Linked DNA regions of Caenorhabditis elegans. The protein of the gene in region 1 interacts with the protein of each later gene in a pairwise test. Each region holds a gene or a part of one and is shown on either strand. Other genes may lie near its edges.

Region 1 (4,762 bases):
GACGCCTTCTTTCAGATGTTATCTCGAAAAAAAAGACTAGTACAGTACAAATGGGAAAAAGAGAATCTTCAGATTTTCAGGAGTGCGTTCTTTAACCTATTATCTAATTAAATTTCTGTGAAAGTTGATCAACATAAAAACCAAACAATCTGAGTTTGCTCAGGTTTTTTGCTTTTTCTGCTGTAATACAAATATTTATGCTGACACAACTCATGATGAATCACGAAAAAATTGTCTTTACATTGCAGATTAGGCACTTCCTTCAAAATAAACTGGCTAAAAACTACAATTCCAGTTTAAGATACGAATTTCAAAAAAAAAAGTGCAGAAAGTATTATAAACAAAATTCCATTCAGCAAAGAAAACGCTTGCATGTTGCGGCGTTGTTAAACAAAAATATTAGGATAAGTTCTTTACAAAGTATCATTTTTCAAATGCAGTCAAATTTGCCAGATCACCTAAATGTTTTCTCACTTGATTATATATTCCCTTGCCCAACACCACCGCATTGTATTGTTCTATTGAACCTTCTTAGATGATCAATTGTTCATCGGAACGTGTTGATCTTCAGTTGTACCAACTGTAATCCGTACCAACGTGCAAACGCTGATCCCATGTAAAAACAGTTACCTCGTGCTTATGACCGTTCTCTTTGTTTCTGTCACTCTTTTCTGCCGAAAACGTGGAGAGGGTGTTGCGTTCTTTTCGAAAGAGCTCGTCATGCTCCAGCACATAAACTGCTCTTGAGCTCATATTTATACAGTCGTGCTCTTTCACTCCACTCTCCTATATCTCTGCGTCTTATTATTGTCCTTCACCCTCTATCCGTCCATCATTATCGTCATCATCATCATCACCCATGTTTTCGTCTTCTATAATTGCCTGCTACCTATGTCCTCGGGGGGGGGGGGGGGGGGGTGAAGGAAAAAGGAAGCAAAGTCATTGGCATCTCAGCTGCCAAGTGGTAACAAAGTGAGGATAGGAATTCAATCCAGCATATTGAAAATGTCTAGTTTTCACCTCTTTTTGCATCTTTTTTTTCTTACCGTTCGCCCTCTTCCAATGCCATCGCCATGTATCGTGTTTCCGTGAGTAGTCTGCGTTTCACAATTACTCATCCGTCACAAAAAAGGCATTCGCGTTTCCACCTGGAAGCTCTTAGATACTTCAAACACTTTGCTTCCGAAAACCATTGACTTTCACTTCACTTTCCTTTCATTGAAACTATCAAAAGTGAATTACGAATAATAAGGAGAGTACCATTTGATTGTGCTGGATATCCTCCTAAGTCTTGATCTTGCTGAAAGTGATTCACAGATAGAAAGTGGCTTGAAATTTCTATGAATACTTCTAATATATGTTTAACGCTGTGCAACTTTGAGACTTTTCTTAGGAACCGTTAATTTTTATGTTTTCTAAATTTAATTTATTTTAAAACAATGTTTCCAGCAAACTCAAAACTATCAGTACTTTCAAAACTCCTCCCTTTTAAAGCTATTTTTCCAATTCTCTGTATTTTTTTTTAAAGTCCATGTATATTTGTTAGTTGAACAACCGCTCAAACAATATTGCCCCACACCTTTGAGTTTGCCCGCCAACACACACTTTCTCACTCGCCTAATCAGTTATTGACAGTGTACATTTAAAGACTTTTTGATCACGTTTCTCACTCTTTCCCAACTATTTTCTCTTGACTTCCCGTGTTCTGTTGCTCCATTCGTCTATTTCACTCGAATCGTCGATCTATTAAAACATGAGCTGTTTACCATGGTGAGTAGATTTTGCCTGTTAATGTTTCTGTTAATCAAAAATATTAATTGTGTTTTTACTTTCAATAAGTATCCGAATAATATTGAATTTTTAATCAAACACATACGTTTTTTTTCACAAGAAATCTATCATAAAAAAATGTTTCGAGTAAACCTACCTAAAAGCAAGGGTGAAGATTTTCGAAATTCCCCATATACATAGTTGACTGTCAGAATTTTCGGCAGTTTTCAACCTCAGTCATATTTCAAACAGTTTAACATTTAACCTTGACATAATTGTTCATTTTTAAAGTTCCGTCAAATACCTATCAATTCAAGACACATCAAGCTTGAAAAGCGAATATTTTACTACAAAATACGTTTATACGTTTTGAAATCTCCAGAAATGTTCAGACATTGCTGTTTTAAAATCTTTTCGCCAATTGACAAAACTTCGATTGCCGCATTTGTAATTGTCAGAAATATCTCACCTCGAAAATTACCTATGTCTATTAAAAAAAACAACCAAGTAAGATGCTACTCAAGGCAAGTTACGAATGTTTTAAAAGCCCTCAGAATTTGCAATTTTTTGCTTGCAAGCTTAAGTTTACAGCAGTACTAGTTTGTAATTTTTCTTCCTATAGACTCTTCCTATGATGTTTTTAACTTTTTTTTTCGACTTGTTCATCAACCTGACTACATTTTAATTGATGCAATTCCATATCAATCATGAAAAAACAAGTATTAACGGATCATCTTGTTGCTTAGGATAATATCAACAGGCAAGAAAGCAAACTAACATAATAAACCATCGAATCTGTGCACCAGCTGGCAGTTCACCTCTCATCACGGTGTAGCTATTTCGCCTACGTCTCGTACTCTCTAACCATTTCCACCACCCATTTCTCCACCATCACCATTCAACATTTTCAAACCATGCCCCGCTACTTGGCGCCTATTGATTTATGATACTCGTTTATGTTCCATTTTGAAATTTCTCATTTTCATTTGAAAACATGTTAGATATGTGACTCACTAGCAATGCCTGTTTGAGCCGCACGTGTTTTGCAAATTAGGCAAACGAACCACTAAGAATACATAAGAAGCGAATATCCTTTACATGTCCACTTGGCATCCCTTCGCTCAATCAACTTCTATTCATTTCTTGTTTCTAAGTCCTTCCGAACGGAGTAGTACTCACAATTAAGGTAATCACAACCCTGTTATCCACTATTGTCGTATGTGTTTCTATTTTGAGATTTTTCCCACAGAAATGAATAGCTTTACAAAGTTGCTAATTAGAAGTAAGTAATTTGAGTCGTGTTTTATGCGATTAACATCATATTTCGAGAAGTACGCGAAAATTTATATATTTGTTTAGTTTGAAACTACACGTAATTTTTGTTTTTGAAAGTTGTGTTTCGTTCTTGTTTAAAAAAAGTGTTATATCTATAAAAATTAGATTTTAGTTTTTAATTTTTAAATTGAAAATTTTTAAGACTCCCTATTCCTTGTAAAAATGTTAAGGAAAAAAGCGTTTTTTTTCACAAATTCATATTTATACATTTTTTTGAGAATTAGTCGTTGTCAGAATTTTAAATTATAGTTTTTTTCTTTTTTTTTTTAAATATCTGTTGTAGATTTTTTGCATTTTATTTCCCTAAGAACTTAATCCTCCTTACACCGTACATAGCCAAAAACCAGCAAGTCCTAATTAATCATTCTCAAAGCTGAGAAATTAAAATTTTAAAAACTATATTTCGCCAGTAATTTTTATGAAAAAAGCCATGAATGCATGTTTGAAACGCTTTGAGTTTAAAACGGGAACATTTTTTGATAAAACATTGCTTCAAAATCCGTAGATCTTCAAAAACCACTTTTTTTGTTGGAAATTTTTACTTTTAGGAATTCTCGTTAACCCTGAACAGTGTTTTCTTTTATTGTTCACAGTCATCATGTAGACTGTTCGAATTTAAAGTTAGCTCAATGTTTTAAATGACACTAATAATAACTTGTTTTGTTTACAAAAAAATGTTATATTTACAAGAAAAAAAACAAACAACATTGACTACGTTCCAACTGCCCAACTCCTGATAATGATGTCACTGTCACCAGAATTCCCATAATAATTCATATCAGTACTCTCTTCCTGGCGGGGCACTTTTATCTTCCCTGGAACCTTGAAAACCGGTTAATTTCATTTAAATCATTCATTTCGGTTGGATTAGATGAAGCTTCCTCTTTTTCTTCTGCTTAAGGAGTGAAACAGAATCCCATACGACTTTTTCATCGTTTCTTCATCACATCCACCTTCTGTTTCACTGTTAGTCTCACCTCACCTTCTCCACTTCTCACACCTTTTTACGATGTTCTATTAGAACATTGTGTATGCGATTGAGTGAGTGTGTATCTGTATATGTATGACCTATGCAAATTCTTTATCCGTTCGCAAAATCTGCGTTTATTAATACAGCGTGCACTTTTTCAAGAAAGTAACCGAAGAAATTGACGAAAAAGGAGAGATCGGGCTGCCTATTTCGAGGACAACACATTCCTTCCATATTCTTCCGTAAAATGTTCAGACACTGGTCCCCTTCTAACTAAAACTAGGTCTTCATATCTATCAAATAAGTTGCGTTAGAATGGAATCTGATTCTGGTCGCTTTAACTTGTACATATTTTCCGATAGTGTTGGTCTTTCAAGTGTATGCCATTAGTAACTTGTTAGGCAATCTTCTAGGACATTGGTCAAAAAGTCCGTTGTTCAATTACGTTAAGCAACGGATGAATACATGTTTTTGTTTTTATTCGGTTTTCACTCACTCTTTTCACCAATCAGCTGTCAAGGTTTCATATTCCTGTATGGAATTTTGAATTCAAATTTTGATTCCCTGTTTTTCAAAATCAAAACAAATACTTTTTTTCAAATTTCGCCATAGGGTGCTATACTTAATTTTGTGTTCTAGAATTGTATTCTTGTAAAAATAACAAATATTTCCCGTATGTCAAAACTG
Region 2 (7,045 bases), on another chromosome or scaffold:
AAATGATTTCAAAATGTGGTTTTCAGTGGTTTTTAACGTTTTTCAATGACTTTTTTCCTAAAAAAAAGTTCAGAATAAATCGAAACTTTTCTTTGTTTTTTTTCACAAATTTCAATTTCTTGTTTTTTCGTTGCTCACTTACACTAAAAAATACAAGCGTCGGCGCAGCAGTAATCTTGAAATTCAACGAAATTCCGGGCAAAGCTTCAGCGTCAATGAAGGCGGCACGAAGCGGCAGAGCAATTTCAGCGAGCAAATCATCCAGTAGCTGATTAACTTGCTCACAGCTTGGAGCCCACGATGCGTAGAAATGAAGAACAGCTGGAGATGGTTCCTTAATGAACGCAGCAACCTCCTCTCCTGACTTGATTTCTTGAATTGGCATTCTGGAATTTTTTGGCTGGCAATGGTAAAAAGCTAGAAATTTGAATAAAAAAATTAAAAAAATATACGAGAAAGGTAAAATAAACCTTGAAATTTCAATAATGAATAATGAAAAATATGTTTAAAAATTGAAAATATATAATAATTTTCAGAAAAAATATAAAAAAAAACAATGAAATACGGATCGTTTTGAGATCATAATATAGAAAAGAGATGGAATGCATAATACAGGAGAAGATTTCAATGAAAATAAAAATAAATAAATAGAAGAAGTGGATGGAATTATAGTACACATATTCGACAGCTCAATTCTGAAGGTCTCAACGGGATATTGAAGGAGGTGGAAGGCAACCGAATTTTTTGTCCCAAGCCGCGTAGGCATCCAATTGAGAATCGTCGACTGTTGGCCGAACGACACGAGCTGCTTCGGCGAAATCCATTACAGTAACGGCACGAATCTGAAATTTTCATCGATTAGTTGATTAAAACCGGAGCATTTGATGTTTCAGAGCTCGAGTGTTTATCTAATTTTTATGATGACCGAGTGCAAAAATAGAAAATAAATGTGACAATTCGTACGGCAAATGGTAAATAAAAAATAATAAGATTCGTCAGTCATGTGAGAGAGTTGCGAAATTGTTTGTTGTTGTGGCATGACATTTCATAAATTTTCGAAAAGTGTTCATTTTCGGAACATGGAGGTGTTTTATTATGTGGACGGAGGAAAATGAGATTTTTTAAATTGAGGTGCAATCGCGCTCTAACGCTAAACATTGGGTCTCGTTATGTATAAGAGGAACATTAAATTTATATAATGCGTATTGTGCAACATATTTGACGCGCAAAATATCTCATAGCGAAAACTACAGTAACTCTCTAAATGTCTAATGTAACTCTTGTGTCGATTTACGAGATTCATTGTTTCGAAAATCGTACCCGTAAATCGACACACGCGCTACAGTAGTCATTTAAAGAATCACTGTAGTTTTCGCTACGAGATATTTTGCTCGTCGAATATGTCGTGCAGTACGCATTCTCCGAATTCAGTGTTACCGTAATATTGGCGGCAAATTCAAGTTTTTAATTCGATTTTACTGAAATCATCCGTTTATATGCATTTTTTGATTTATTTTCAGTTGCTTTCTGGTTTTCATGCCGAAATGATTCTTGAAAATGCACGTGAAGCTTCGATATTAACGCATAATCAAAAGCAATGGGATTTTTTTTCTTCCTAACGAGACCCAGCATTATGAGGCGGGGCAATTTCAATTGGCCGTGGAGCGCGATTACACCGATCACAAGTGTTTGATATTAATTCAGAATCCTCACATCATCCTTATCAATCGTCTCAATATCGTCTCCAATGTCTCTGATAGGACCCATCGCTGCTTCAGTGCACAATTGCCTCATGTCAGCTCCAGAATAGCCGTCTGTAAGCTCTCTAATCCGCTCCAAATTATGATTTGTGATATCATGACGCGTGCCTACAAGTAGATTCTGCACAATTTGTGTGCGCGACTCTGGCTCCGGAAGCGCAATGTACAGTCGCTTCTGGAAGCGTCGACGAGCAGCTTCATCCAACTCTTGTGGCCGATTTGTGGCACCCAATACAAGAAGCCGTTCATCTGGAGCCGTATTCACACCATCCAACTGTACCAGGAACTCTGTCTTGATGCGCCGTGAAGATTCGTGTTCCGATTCCGACCGGGATGATAGTAACGAGTCGATCTCATCGATGAAGATAACACTCGGAAGTTTCAGACGAGCAACTGAGAACAGAGCACGAACAAGCTTTTCACCTTCTCCAACCCATTTTGAGGTTAACGACGATGCTGAAATATTGAAGAAAGTGGCTTTGCACTGGGAAGCGACACATCTCCCGATCATTGTTTTTCCGGTTCCTGGTGGTCCGAATAGAAGAACACCTTTCGGTGGAGCACGGATTCCGGTGAAGACGTCACTGAAAAAAATTATAATTGTCAATTAAATTTTTGGAGGATTTTTTAAATTGCTTTATTAGACTCAAAATTGTCTGAAAACACCGAATTTTATAATGAAACTTCTTGAAAAATTCTCAAAAAAAAGTTATGACGGCTCAAAAAATGGCTTAAAATTAGTTAAAATTTGAAATTTGACTTGTCAGCGGATGGAAACAATTTTTTTGAAATCACCGTAAAATTTTGAGTATACAGGTCAATTATCTTGCGTTTTCAACTCGATTTAGGTATTTTAAAGTCGATGGACGGCGAGATTAAAATTGTTTTTTTTTACCAAATCTCGCCGTCCATCGACTTTAAAATACCTAAGTGAAGTTGAAAACGCAAGATAATTACATTACATACTCAAAATTTGACGGTGATTTAAAAAAAATTGTTTCCAGCCGCTGCGACATTGACAAGTCGGTCAAATTTCAAATGTTAACTAATTTTAGGACATTTTTTAAGCCTTCATAACTTTTTTTTGAGAAGTTTCCAAGTAGTTTCATCATAAAATTCGGTGTTTTCAGATAATTTTGAGTCTAATAATGCAATAAAAAATTCGACTACACCACCTTTAAAGGAGGTTTTTTTGCGTGTATAGACTAAAAGCACAAAATAAGCGTTCAAAACCTCGTAAAAATAGCTAATTTTATCTAAAATCTCGAATTTCGTCTATTTTTCCTGTCCGCATCAGCTGAAACACTATTTTATTGAATTATCATCCTTTTTAGCATCTTTTGGTGGTTTATATCACATTTTTTCGTCAATTTAGGTTCATTTAAGTCGATAAAAAATTAAACAATTAAATTAAAAACACCTATCGGCTTTAAGTGTACCTACGTCAACAAAATAATGTGAAATAAACCACCAAAAAAAGTGGAAAAGTTGACAAAAAACGAGATTTTAACCAATTTCAGCCATTTTTGAGCACTTTATGAGTCTGAGCAAGCTAAAAACCCGAAAAACCCTTTTTTTCTCCTTTCAGAACGTACGGTCTTTTAAATGGCAGTACAACAATCTCCCGTAATGCTTTTTTCGCTCCTTCCAATCCAGCAACATCAGCCCATCCGATCTCATTGTTCACAGACATAATTTCCGATTCAATCAATGAAATGATATTTTCATCAAAGTGCTTTAGCGTTGGCTCAGCTCTCAATCCACTCATTTTTTCATCTTTTCCACCTCCTTCCGTATCCATTCCCATCGCCTTTCTGATGAGCGGATTGGAGCATCGTTTCGGGATATCCGGTGCTCTTCTGGCCGGTGGTATCCCTGCCAAGCTTCCAATCGATTGGGAACTGGATTGACGATCCAGAGGCACTTGGAACTTGCTATTCTGTGGATCCTGGCCGGCTGCAGTCGTAAATGATGGATAGAGGGTTCCGAGGGTATTTTGGATAGCTGCTCGGTTTTTCGTAGGTGCTCTGAAACGACGCTTTCATTTTTAAAAAAATCGATTAATATTACGGGAACACAAAATTCTGAGAATGCGTACTGCGCAACATATTCGACGCGCAAAATATTCTTTTTATGACTACTGTAGCGCTTGTGTCGATTTACGGGGGCTCGATTCTCGGAAAAAAAACAAAATTTTCGAATTTTGACAGCGATACTCAATTTTTCTTCGTTTTTTTTTCGAATACCATGGTCATTTTTGTGCTTATTTTTAATATTTTATCTATTAATAAATTACTTTAATTGCAAAAAACTCCAATTTTGGCGTTTTTTTGATGAGTAAGCTCATACAGGCGTATTTTTATATTATTTCCCGCCTATTACGGCAATAAACGGGAAATAGTGTTAAAAAAACGCTTGTGGAGTATTAGAGTATTATCATCAAAATGACGCGAATATTGGAGTTTTTTCAATTAAAATAATTTATTAATGGAAAAAAAATATTAAAAATAAGCACAAAAATGATAAAGGAATAGGAAAAAAACGAAGAAAAATTGAATATCGCTATCAAAATTCGAAAAATGTGTCTTTTTCCGAGAATCAAGCCCGTAAATCGACACAAGCGCTTCATTTAAAGAATTACTGTAGTTTTCTTTTTCGCTACGAGATATCTTGCGCGTCAAATATGTTGTGAAATACGCATTCTCAGAATTTCGTGATCTCTTAACGAACCTGGTCTTCTTAAAGTGCGGATTTGAAGCCACCTCGATGCCTTTCAGCGTATTTTCATGCATTTGCCGAATAAAATTCGGATCAGTTCTTCTAGCATTTGTAGGATCCACTATATCGCAGATTTTGTCTCTGATTTTCGTCACTTTATCGTCGCTTCCAAAATCGAAGCCTCGCATTGTGAACGGCTCTTCTCGGCGTTTTTCCTCCTTTGGTTTCGGAATTTCGCCAAGTTTGAAGCTGCTTTTCTCGCCAAGAAACGGTCGACTTTTGAGCTTCCGGGTGTCTTGTTTTTGTGAAAACGACACATCAACGGTTCTATCTTCGTCTTCATCAATTATTATCCCGTCTAGCTCGTCATCCAGACCATTTTGTTGAGAACGAGATTTGAATGGAGGCTGCTGCTGAGCTGAATCCGAAGGTGTCTCCACGACTATTTTTCGACGGGGTTTTCCGATAAAATACGGACTAATCCCATTGCGAGCAAGAGCCGTCGGTGGGTAAAGATCATCGTTATTTTCGCCGGTTTCGGGCCGTTTTCTCATTCCACTGGTCACATTGAGTTTTACCCGTTTTGGAGAATACATAATCTGAAAATAGTGTTTTTTGACCTGAAAACCCCCACAAAAAAATATTCAAAAAGACTGGGGTAACTTGAACAACTTAAAGGCAAAGGAATAATTGAGCTTAAAATTTATATCGTCTAATAAAATAAATCATAAACAATCGGAAGTGAGAGAAGAAAGGTATGGAATGTATCCAAATGGAATTATTCGAATACTGTTGTGCGATCATTTGTCTACTTTTGCTGCTTTCCATTTTCCCATGTGGTGATCTGAAAAATTCGTGTTAAAACTTGAATAATAAGGCGTATTTAATCACCTTGAGAGTTGCCTCTGGCTTCTTAACAGCGGCCTTTCCTCCGACTTGCTTGGTGCACTTGCGGGTGATCTCGGCAGCGATTTGCGAGTAACGCACGTAGTTGAGTCCAGCGGCTCTCCAGGCGACCATTTTCTGAAAAACATGAATAAAAAAGAAATATTGGAAAAAAGCGACTAATTTTGCACAAGAAAACAAAGAAAAACCGCAATTTTACTAATGAAATCTATCGATTTTAGCAATTAGAAAAGCTATTTTACAATTTGCGATTAAAAAACATTAATTTCATCTAAAAACAGCCAAAAATCAATGAAAAATCACAATTCTACTCTTGAAACAAAAAATGTGTCGTTTCTGCAGCAATTTATCGATTTTCGAAATTATAAAAGCTATTTTACAATTTGCGATTAAAATGTACATTAATCCCATCTAAAAACTAACAAAAAACCAAGAAAAACCACAATTTTACTGATGAGACAAAAAAAAACATTTTTTCTCAGAATTGCCTGTCGTTTCTGCAGCAATTTATCGATTTTAGCAATTATTTTACCAATTTTAATTAAAATAAACATTAATTCCATCTAAAAACAACCAAAAATCAATGAAAAAACGAACAATTTTCTTTAAAAACAGCTAAAAATGGCACAGTCCATGTCGGAAAAATATAAGTTAAAGGCGCATAGACTTTCGCACTCTGGTGGGTCTCGCAACGACATGAAGGAGGCAAACGCGCGAAATTCGAACGGACGACGCTGCCATCTGCCGCACATTCCTTCACTCTCTCGCTCATTTATTATCGGTTTTGTGCTACAAGAGCAGCTTTTTTCGCGATTTTTTCAGTTTTTCCAATTAAAAAATAAAATTTCCATCATTTCAGCCCGGCTCTATAATCCTATAATCTCACTCACCATGAAAACCACCACTTACAACACAGACTGGGCTGCCGAGAAGACGAAAATTCGCAGTTTCTTCGACGAATACTATGTGGACAATGAGGACGGATCTGGAAAGGTATTCCCGAATTTGGTGTATAAATGAGTATTTAAATTCAACTTTTAGGCATTCCCATATCGTGATCAAGTCTTTGAAATTGCTCGCCGCGACAAGCAGGCAATCGTTGTGAATGTTGACCATATTAAGGAATCTGATATTCCAGATGCTCTTGAACTCTCAGAAGCCATTACTTCCAATACAAAGAGATACGAAGTCCTGTTCAAGGACACAATTTCGGATATGATCCAGGACTATCTCGGAGACAAGCAAGCGCCAGTAATCGATGCTCTTGATGCCTACATGTTCCAGCGTCTTCATATGGATAGGAACGAGGGAGCCGCCAACGAGGAAGTTTCTCTTCAGGACAAACGCAAGAAATACCCACCACAGCTCCTTCAACGCTTCGAGGTCTACTTCACAACGGACGATGCCGCCCATGAAACGTGTGTCCGAAACATCAAAGCCACCGAGATCGGGCACTTGGTCTCCATGAAGGGAGTTGTTATCCGTGCGACCGAGGTGAAACCTTGTGTTGAAGTCATGACCTACACTTGCGATACTTGTGCCGCCGAAGTCTATCAGCCTGTGAAGGGAATGCAATTCACCCCACCGGTCAACTGTCCCAACAAGGAATGCGTTGAGGCAAAAGCCAACGGAAGACTTCACATGCAGCTTCGTGGATCGAA

The links.
Region 2: the proteins of sdpn-1 (region 1) and figl-1 interact in a two-hybrid assay, tested with the Caenorhabditis elegans proteins (one large-scale study listed by BioGRID).

The regions. Positions count from the first base shown.
Region 1 is NC_003284.9:7,995,087-7,999,848, reverse strand, and holds the start of sdpn-1 (SH3 domain-containing protein), read left to right. Parts: upstream 1-1,753; coding exon 1,754-1,770; intron 1,771-4,762.
Region 2 is NC_003283.11:4,340,923-4,347,967, forward strand, and holds figl-1 (Fidgetin-like protein 1), read right to left. Parts: upstream 5,078-7,045; 5' UTR 5,075-5,077; coding exon 4,491-5,074; intron 3,788-4,490; coding exon 3,356-3,787; intron 2,345-3,355; coding exon 1,714-2,344; intron 843-1,713; coding exon 705-842; 3' UTR 509-704; downstream 1-508. Other genes in the region: glrx-3 (Glutaredoxin 3), read right to left, coding at 143-385; hpo-18 (ATP synthase subunit epsilon, mitochondrial), read right to left, coding at 5,287-5,322, 5,370-5,498; mcm-7 (DNA replication licensing factor MCM7), read left to right, coding at 6,276-6,377, 6,426-7,045. UniProt on the Caenorhabditis elegans protein: Has a role in spindle assembly which acts in the progression through mitosis during embryogenesis. Required for fertility.